Bombyx mori: one gene and its partner. The protein of the gene in region 1 purifies or fractionates together with the protein of each later gene. This does not show direct contact. Links are inferred from orthologs where the notes say so. Each region holds a gene or a part of one and is shown in the gene's direction. Other genes may lie near its edges. The genes, in order: retinoblastoma-like protein 2 and transcription factor Dp-1.

Region 1 (3,835 bases):
GCTGGAAACCTGTTATTGATTCTTTTTTTGAAAAAGGGGTAAGATAAATATAAAATCACAAGTTTATTTTGTATACCACTGACTGACTTGGTGGTGTAGTAATTAGTACCCCTGACTGTTGCGCCAAGGGTTGTGGGTTCGATTCCCACATTGATAAAACATTATGTAATGAATAGGTTAACTTGCTCTCTGTTTGAGTGCTTACTATCTACAATATGTATATATTGAAATGTACATAAGTATGTTTGCCCGTCGCTGGTACCCATAACACAGGGAATCCTAAATTGGGGCCAAGTTACCATATGTGATTTGTTTTCAGTTATTTATTTATTAGTAATACAAGATCTAGGTGTACTTGTTTTGTGTATGGAGGTGCGTATATAGATTTATAACACTATTTGATTATATAATATGTAATTTGTATTTATAGATACTGAAAGGCAATAGTGAGCCTACGCTTGGAATTCTAGATTTGGGAGTGTTTGATGTAAATCTTAAATCACTGAACAACTTGTATGAAACATATGTTCTCAGTGTAGGAGAATTTGATGAAAGGATTTTTTTAGGTAAGTCACACTTGATAACAAATGAAAAAAATTGATGTCTTCAAAGTATAGAAATGTTTTTGAATTATTAATGGGTGTTTAATATATCAATGCTTGTCATCTAATATGTATTTTTTTCTATAGCTTAGGTGGGTGTACAGGCTTATGGCCCATCTGGTGTTAAGTCAGTACTGGAGTCCATAGACATCATAATGTTGCATTTAAGTAACAGACATTCAATATATATACCAACTACATTAAGCACACTTGAGCTTCACCTTTATTTTTGTAATTTCCTGGAATTATTGCAATTCTTTTTATTGTAGACTGATCATTTCAAACAACAAACCTGAAAAATGTTGACTCCTTTTAATTGACATTATGACACTGTCAAATTTAAAGAATTTTGTTTAATTAAGATGTCAACATATAATTTAAATCCCATACTAACATATTTTATTGATAATACTAATGAAGGTATGGAATATTAATATCAAAGATATGACTATATTGATTACAAACTTCATTAATGGTTTCTTATAGAAACAATTTTACCTTCAAGATTATAAATATTAGTTATTATGAAACTAGTAGTAGGTTTTATGAATGTGTTGTGTTTCAGTAAGAATGCACTGATTTGTAATAATGTAATTTAAATGTAAGCAATGCCAATTAAAAGCATTTCAGTTGTGCATGCTTAACTGTTTAACCTAACCTTATAAAGTTTAATTTATAAATTTAAATTTGAATATTATTTGCAGGCGAACAAGCAAATGAACAAATTGGAATGAAGAACAAAGTGTCCGGTGATGAGATCTCAGAAGTAATAGCTAATTTCGGTCCTGTAAGTTTATATTATGTTTACACTTGGAATTTTTCATAGTACTTTACTGCCTCCAACTAACAATAAATGAGATATATATTTAGGGTATCATTGACGGAATGCATAGGGAACGTTAAATACAGATATCTAAATATCCACTTCATGATTTTTTATATATTTACATTGTTAGATTCAAAGTTAAGTAGTTAAATATTCAATTATTTTAGTCTACTCTCACATTTGGAAGTACATACTATACTATACTATATACATACGCAGCTATACTATACTATACTATGCAATGCTGGATTAAATAAGTGATCTAAATATCGAATGCACAATGTTGAATTGAATCTTTATAAATTTGTTGTTAGCACTATATACCTGTAGTAATAACTATTAACATTCAAATAATGAGGTAGGATTTGGTTTAAAATATTAACAATACCACCAAATCTCGTTCGTTTCTGTATACTGATCAATGCTGTGTTTCAGCTACTAGGTTTTTTTTGAATGGCTTAGATGGGTGGACGAGCTCACAGCTCACCTGGTGTTAAGTGGTTACTGGAGTCCATAGACATCTACAACATAAATGCCGCTACCCACCTTGAGATGAGTTCTTAGGTCTCAGAATAGTTACAACGGTTGCCCCACTCTTCAAACCGAAACGCATTACTGCTTCAAGGCAGAAATAGGCGGGGTGCGGATTCACGCAATGTCTTTGCAAAGTAGTCTTGAATATAACGCACTCGTGTGGGATCCTCGCGAAGCTGTTCAAAAGCTAATGCTGGAAAAACTATATTCAAGAAAATTTATGGATACTATCCGTTCTTGTATTCATCACTTTATGTGACTGGTATGGTCGGGTTAGATACTCTTGGGCTGAGACGGAAAATGACTCTTATGGTGCATTACTATCAGTTATTGCATAACAAAATCAGCGATTTATTGTTGTTGTTAGAAATTACATAAGCTAATTATTAGTACCTTACAAATGTTTTGGTTTATACTGTTAATTTGTAAGTAGACTAAATAAATAAATAAAAAATTAATAAATAAAATTATGTACGCACGCAAGAAATTATACTTTATTTTTATTAAATTTGTCTTTTTTTTTTAAATATTAAATAATTAATAATAAATATTTAACGTTAATAATTTAATAATATTTAGTATGAATTATATTAAATAATAATTTTGTCATTTATATTACTAAAAAATGAATGCTAATAACACTTTTTTTTACGAGTGTAAATGCGCGAAAGTTTACCTGCGGCTATATTCAGACTCGCCAAGTTACGTCGGTCGTATTGTAATGAGCGATTTAGTGGGCAACTTCATTTCTGTTAATTTTTTGTCACGGTGCGCGCGCATTTTAAAATTTCACTCACATCAGTTTTTCATAACGCGCCTAAAGAAGTATAACTTCAATAAATAAATGTCCTACCACCAGTAAATCCAATGTAGTCGAATGTGTTACTTAATTAATACAATGAACCGTTGAGTAAAAGTAATGTTTGTGTACAGAGCGGTCGTGCGTGCCCGGACACGCCGCTGACGGGGCGGCGCTACCTGTCGCGCCGCAGCGAGGAGCTGACGCCCGTGTCGGAGGCCAAGAACAGCCTGGCGCGCCTCGCCGCCACGCTGCGACACGCGCGCCCCCAACCCTCGCCCACGCTGCTCAGGCTCTTCACGTGAGTACTGCGATTCAGCCACTCAACTGTCATAATCGCTTATCTTTCTCAAAGTAGGGCTTATAGTATATGTGCAATTACTTTCATATCAAAAGGTAACAACACCGTAGGACTTATGCAAATATCACAATACAAATACTACTCACCTACCAAATTCAGAAATATCCCATAATTAAGTTACATATTTTCTTGCTATATATAACGATATAACTAAATGGATGCTTACTTCACCAATTTATTTTCAATTAATCTATTATCTACGACTGCCTATATATATTGATGTATATGTCTATACTTTTATTGTTTCGTTTTAATTACTATAAATTGTGACAAACAGTAAGTATTTTATTGAATGGTTAGATTTAATCAAGAAGGCATTTAAAAAAGGTTTCTGCGCTAAAAAAACTATTCAAATTAATCCTATTTCAACAGGGAATGCGGCGTAACTGATGAAATGATAAATGCAAAACTAATAAAACCCTGCAATGGTTGGATGGAACAATTTGGGGCCAGCTTGAAGGAAGCACACAATACCCCGCATAGTGAGACAATTTCTATACGCTGTAATATGGTCACATGTTTATATTATAAGGTGTTTGAACATATCATCAAAGAGGAACATAGGAAAAAGCCACAGGTTTCATTGCAGGTAAGATATATAGCTCTAAATTTAGTTTTGTCCTAAAAATTGTGCTTGCTATCTTGAGAATAATATCCAACCTTAATATAAGCAGAGAATTTCACTGTTAAGCTAAGTATTTCGGTTTCTTTTA
Region 2 (4,554 bases), on another chromosome or scaffold:
AATATAATGTGCCATGCTAACTATCTGTTTGATTTTTAATGTTAAGCGTACCAACAACCAGTAAAACGTATGATTAAATTGTTGATGGATAGCAGACAACACAAAGCCAACATGGGAAATTTCAGTCTAAAAAAATTTAATTTTAACTGTTGATTTATTTATATTTAAAAAGAAAAGTATCTCTGTTTGATCAAATCGACATGTACTAATGTTTCTCAACCTCTAAAGTTCTTATAGTCTCATATTTATTACCTGCATTGGGCATTCAACCTAAGGGGCTAACGGTATCTCAATCTATTACAATAACAGTTTGAGCTATGGTTCGATAGCTGTTGGTTTTAGGAAAAACGAGTATGTGAGTTTGAGATAGTGTTTTTTAAGAAGTATCGAGTTGATGATGTTTATTTAATAATACATCCCCGCAGACTATTGAGATTCAACCTATAATCATATTTGTAGACATTAAATAGTCATGGCGCCGCAATTCCAAGGAGTATCCCTGCAATCTTCCGAGAGTATCGGGATACTTGGGGTCAACATTTCGAGCGATGTCCAGTTTCGGAGTCATTTGGAAGGCAAAGCCAAGTTGGCGTCCAAAATGCTGGGAGTCTTCAATAGAGCGAAGCGGTACTTCATGCCTGAACAAAGGCTTTTGCTTTATAAAGCACAAGTCCGGCCTCGCGTGAAGTACTGCTCCCATCTCTGGGCCGGGGCTCCAAAATACCAGCTTCTGCCATTTGACTCCATACAGAGGATGGCCGTTCGGATTGTCGATAATCCCATTCTCACGGATCGTTTGGAACCTCTGGGTCTACGGAGGGACTTCGGTTCCCTCTGTATTTTGTACCGTATATTCCATGAGGAGTGCTCTGAGGAATTGTTCGAGATGATACTATCTGGAGCCACTGCGGTCATCCACAGTGCGTTTCCAGAGGTCTTTTTTGCTACGCACTATCCGGCTATGGAATGAGCTTCCCTCCACGATGTTTCCCCGTGCGCTATGACATGTACGTCTTCAAACGAGGCTTGTGGAGAGTATTAAGCGGTAGGCAGCGGCTTGGCTCTGCCCCTGGCATTGCTGAAGTCCATCCACTCACCATCAGGTGGGCCGTATGCTCGTCTGCCAACAAGGGCCGGAAAAAAATTATTGTAATCTCATAAATGCTTTTTTATGGTAGCTTAGTTTTTATATATACACAAGGTTCTACAATAAATACTGGAAGAACGAGTAGTGATATTGTTTCATAATCGTAAAAATATCAGAAATGATACTATACCACTAAAAAAAAAGTAAGTGACCATAACATTGTAGAAAAATAACGTAACAACGTGAAGAAACTGAATCCGAACAGACTATTATGAACAAGAAAGACATGGGGCCATGCATGAAGTTTAATAATTAAATTAACCTCATGCATGGCGCACTTCGGAAAACATTTTTAAATTCTTGCGATGGCAAGGACATTAAATGCGTACATCTACACCTAAAAACAAAATGGCGATTGAGAATTGGCGCCTTTTTGTTTTTTTTTCACATCTAGCAACTATTGAATAGTACCACGTGAACTACCTCATCCAATCAGCTGGTAAATCCAAAAATCCCGCCTCTTGCATCGTTTCCTTCTCGTCCCGCGCTGCGTTGGTGATGGTGCTTGGATTCGCGCATTTAATATACTTTAATTAAATGTTAAAAGTTTATCAATGTTACATATATTAATAGAAACTTTAAACTGTAAAAGGTTCATTTATCGGTTCAAAAATTGGCTATAGTTTTGGTTCTAACCCATATTTTTGTCGCCATTTTGACCTGTGATTTTGGTCATACGAATTGAGTAGGTATTATTTAATTTGTTTCGTCATCAACAATTGTCCTACGTTGTTCTTATGAAACATAAATGGACGTCCAAATTCAAGGAGTGTGGAGAAAATGTCCCAAACTAATAGTACAATAAATTACCTTATCCATGATGCTAACGGTTAGTAGAGGTGCTACTTTAGTTTACGTGACACTTGTTTTTCCTATCGGATTTAAGACTTTGTATTGCAAACAAAGCCTAGATCAATTGGACCAAACTCAAGACTAGTAGCTTAGCTTTAGTTATTATCTTCGACGCCTTTTATTCTGCCGAAATAAACATCATCACAGCGTTTGTTTATTACGGAGATATTTTTTGTTTCAATCAGCTGATGGCACCGACGCTTCAGTAAGTCTTTAATTTAGATTATAAATACATAAAGACTCGATGATATGTCCTGCAGGACTTCCTCAAGTGGTGAAAGTGCTGGAAACTACAAGTAAACCACTGATTGCTCAAATCGAAGCAGAACCGAAAGAGAGTCCAGTTAAAATTGTTACTGTATCACCTGTTCCGGTCAAATGTGCAAAGGTATGATTATTCGCAATTTTTTTATATATGAAACCACTATATGTTTTACATATATTATTATAAACATTATTTATTTACGCTTCATTAGACTAAACTTTTAGTTAGAGTAGTAATGTATATGTTGAATAAACTTTTAATAAACAGAACGAACGAAATGACATGAAATATAATAATAATTACTTTCCTTTGTCACTGTGGTTAACCTAAGCTTTTGGGGTTCTAATATAATTTAGATTTAGTTGGGTGAACTGAGCCTACCTATGCCCTTATGCCCTACTGTAATTTGATTTGAATTTGAAAAATATTCTACAACTAATGAGGACTCCCTAGTTCTTGTATTTTTTTATTACTAGATAGGTGGATGAGCTCATGATCCACCTGGTCTAAAATGGTTACTGGAGCTTATGGACATCTACAATGTAATTGCCTCCATCCACCACGAGACTAGTTCTAAAGTCTCAGTACTTACATCTTACATAGGTCAATAGGTACCAAACCAGAATTAGCAATTTGATTATCATTTACCATTCAGTTTTATATGAGTATACTCTTTAACAGATACCTGTTCCAGCCAGTTTTGCAAGATTTGGAATTGTTCAATACAAACAAAGTAAGTTTTCAGCATGACAGGGTTTGTTGACAGAAAGTAGAAAGTAACCAAGAATCCTATTTAATATATAACTGTATATTTTATTGCTTAGATGGCTGGATGAGCTCATGGCTCACCCGGTGTTAAGTGGTTACCGGAGACATCAACAGTCAATGCCGCCGTCAACCTTGAGACACAAGTTCTAAAATGTCAGTTTTTACAGTATAATAACATATACTCCACCCTTCAAAGTGAAATGCATCTGCTTCACAGCAGAAATAGGCATGGTGTAATAGCAAATAATTTAGCTTCTTGCATACATTTGAGACTTCAACCTCATTTCTCAATGTAATCATACATGTAATTTAGTGCTTTGCGAATTGTTAGGTACATCTACATCCAAAAAAATTTAATAAAAATAAAGTGAGCAAGTAGTAATGAATGTCAAATATATACAAATTTAGGAAGTATTTTGTTACTAAAATTTTGCACACTATATTAATCTTAGTTCTGGGTGTTTTAGTATCACTGTTTACAAGTATCAATACTTCTGCTATGGAACATAATCTAATTTTTAATACATACATACACTATAAAAAGAACATCTTGATTGACTATCCAATATTAAAATAATCCACATGATGGTGGTAATTAATGTTAGATAAGCTGATTTATGAACAAACTTATATAATTTGAATTAGTCCATCAATTCACTTCATTATACATTTCAAAATTATGGTGAGAAATTATGCCTACAATATAAACATACATATAAATCAATAAGTATCACCCCTCTTAGAGATCTGAAGTTGTAATATCAATTGTTTTATATAAGGGCTGTCCGGCCCATCAAACCAGAACTCTCGACTGCTTTGTGGCAGAAATAGCCAAAATAGTGATATCTATTTACTCAAGTGGTCTTAAGATACTTCCCACTAACAGATATTACACAATGTCTTAAGACACAATAAGATCCAAATGATTAATGGAGGTTTTGAACCTTGTCATAGCCACATCACTTGATATAAATTCATCAGGTGTCTTACGATTCCGATTTCGCAGTGGAGATTTTCCTGTTGAGTCTGTAATTATTGTCACCACTGTCTAACCTTGTTCTTAAAGGCTGTTTTGCAATAGTCAAAGATCACGTTTACTAGTCTCTATACAGTAAAAGTTTATTATTCGCGGGGTTGAAGCATAATAAAAATATGCCGCGAATACAGTAACCGTGAATAGGGAAGGGTAATTTGCGTATATGGAGGTTATAGGGGACTCTTCGCCTCGAACTCGACTGAACGACGGGGGTGCCACACCACCGAACATCCCCCGGTGTGATAGTTCCCTGCCGGAGATCTACTTTGCACAGTGTGCAGTCAGGTGGGAACTCCGACTCCTGGACGTTCATAAGTCGAGTGGGCCAGACGGCAACCCTGCAGTGGTTCTAAAAACGTGCGCCCCTGAGCTGACGCCTGCGCTAACGCGTTTGTATCGCCTCTCTTATTGCACTAACAGGGTTCCGTCTTCATGGAAGACCGCCCACATCCACCCTATCCCCAAGAAGGGTGACCGGTCGGACCC

The links.
Region 2: the proteins of retinoblastoma-like protein 2 (region 1) and transcription factor Dp-1 purify together in Drosophila melanogaster (affinity purification with western blotting; 4 studies listed by BioGRID, with this or other methods). This does not show direct contact. The link is inferred for Bombyx mori from reciprocal best matches to the Drosophila melanogaster genes Rbf and Dp.

Annotation. Positions count from the first base shown.
Region 1 is NC_085125.1:4,988,121-4,991,955, reverse strand, and holds part of retinoblastoma-like protein 2, read left to right. Parts: coding exon 1-38; intron 39-430; coding exon 431-566; intron 567-1,306; coding exon 1,307-1,389; intron 1,390-2,895; coding exon 2,896-3,062; intron 3,063-3,494; coding exon 3,495-3,711; intron 3,712-3,835.
Region 2 is NC_085110.1:8,925,204-8,929,757, forward strand, and holds the start of transcription factor Dp-1, read left to right. Parts: upstream 1-1,568; 5' UTR 1,569-1,927; coding exon 1,928-1,976; intron 1,977-2,259; coding exon 2,260-2,387; intron 2,388-2,945; coding exon 2,946-2,997; intron 2,998-4,554. UniProt on the Drosophila melanogaster protein: Component of the DREAM complex, a multiprotein complex that can both act as a transcription activator or repressor depending on the context. In follicle cells, the complex plays a central role in the site-specific DNA replication at the chorion loci.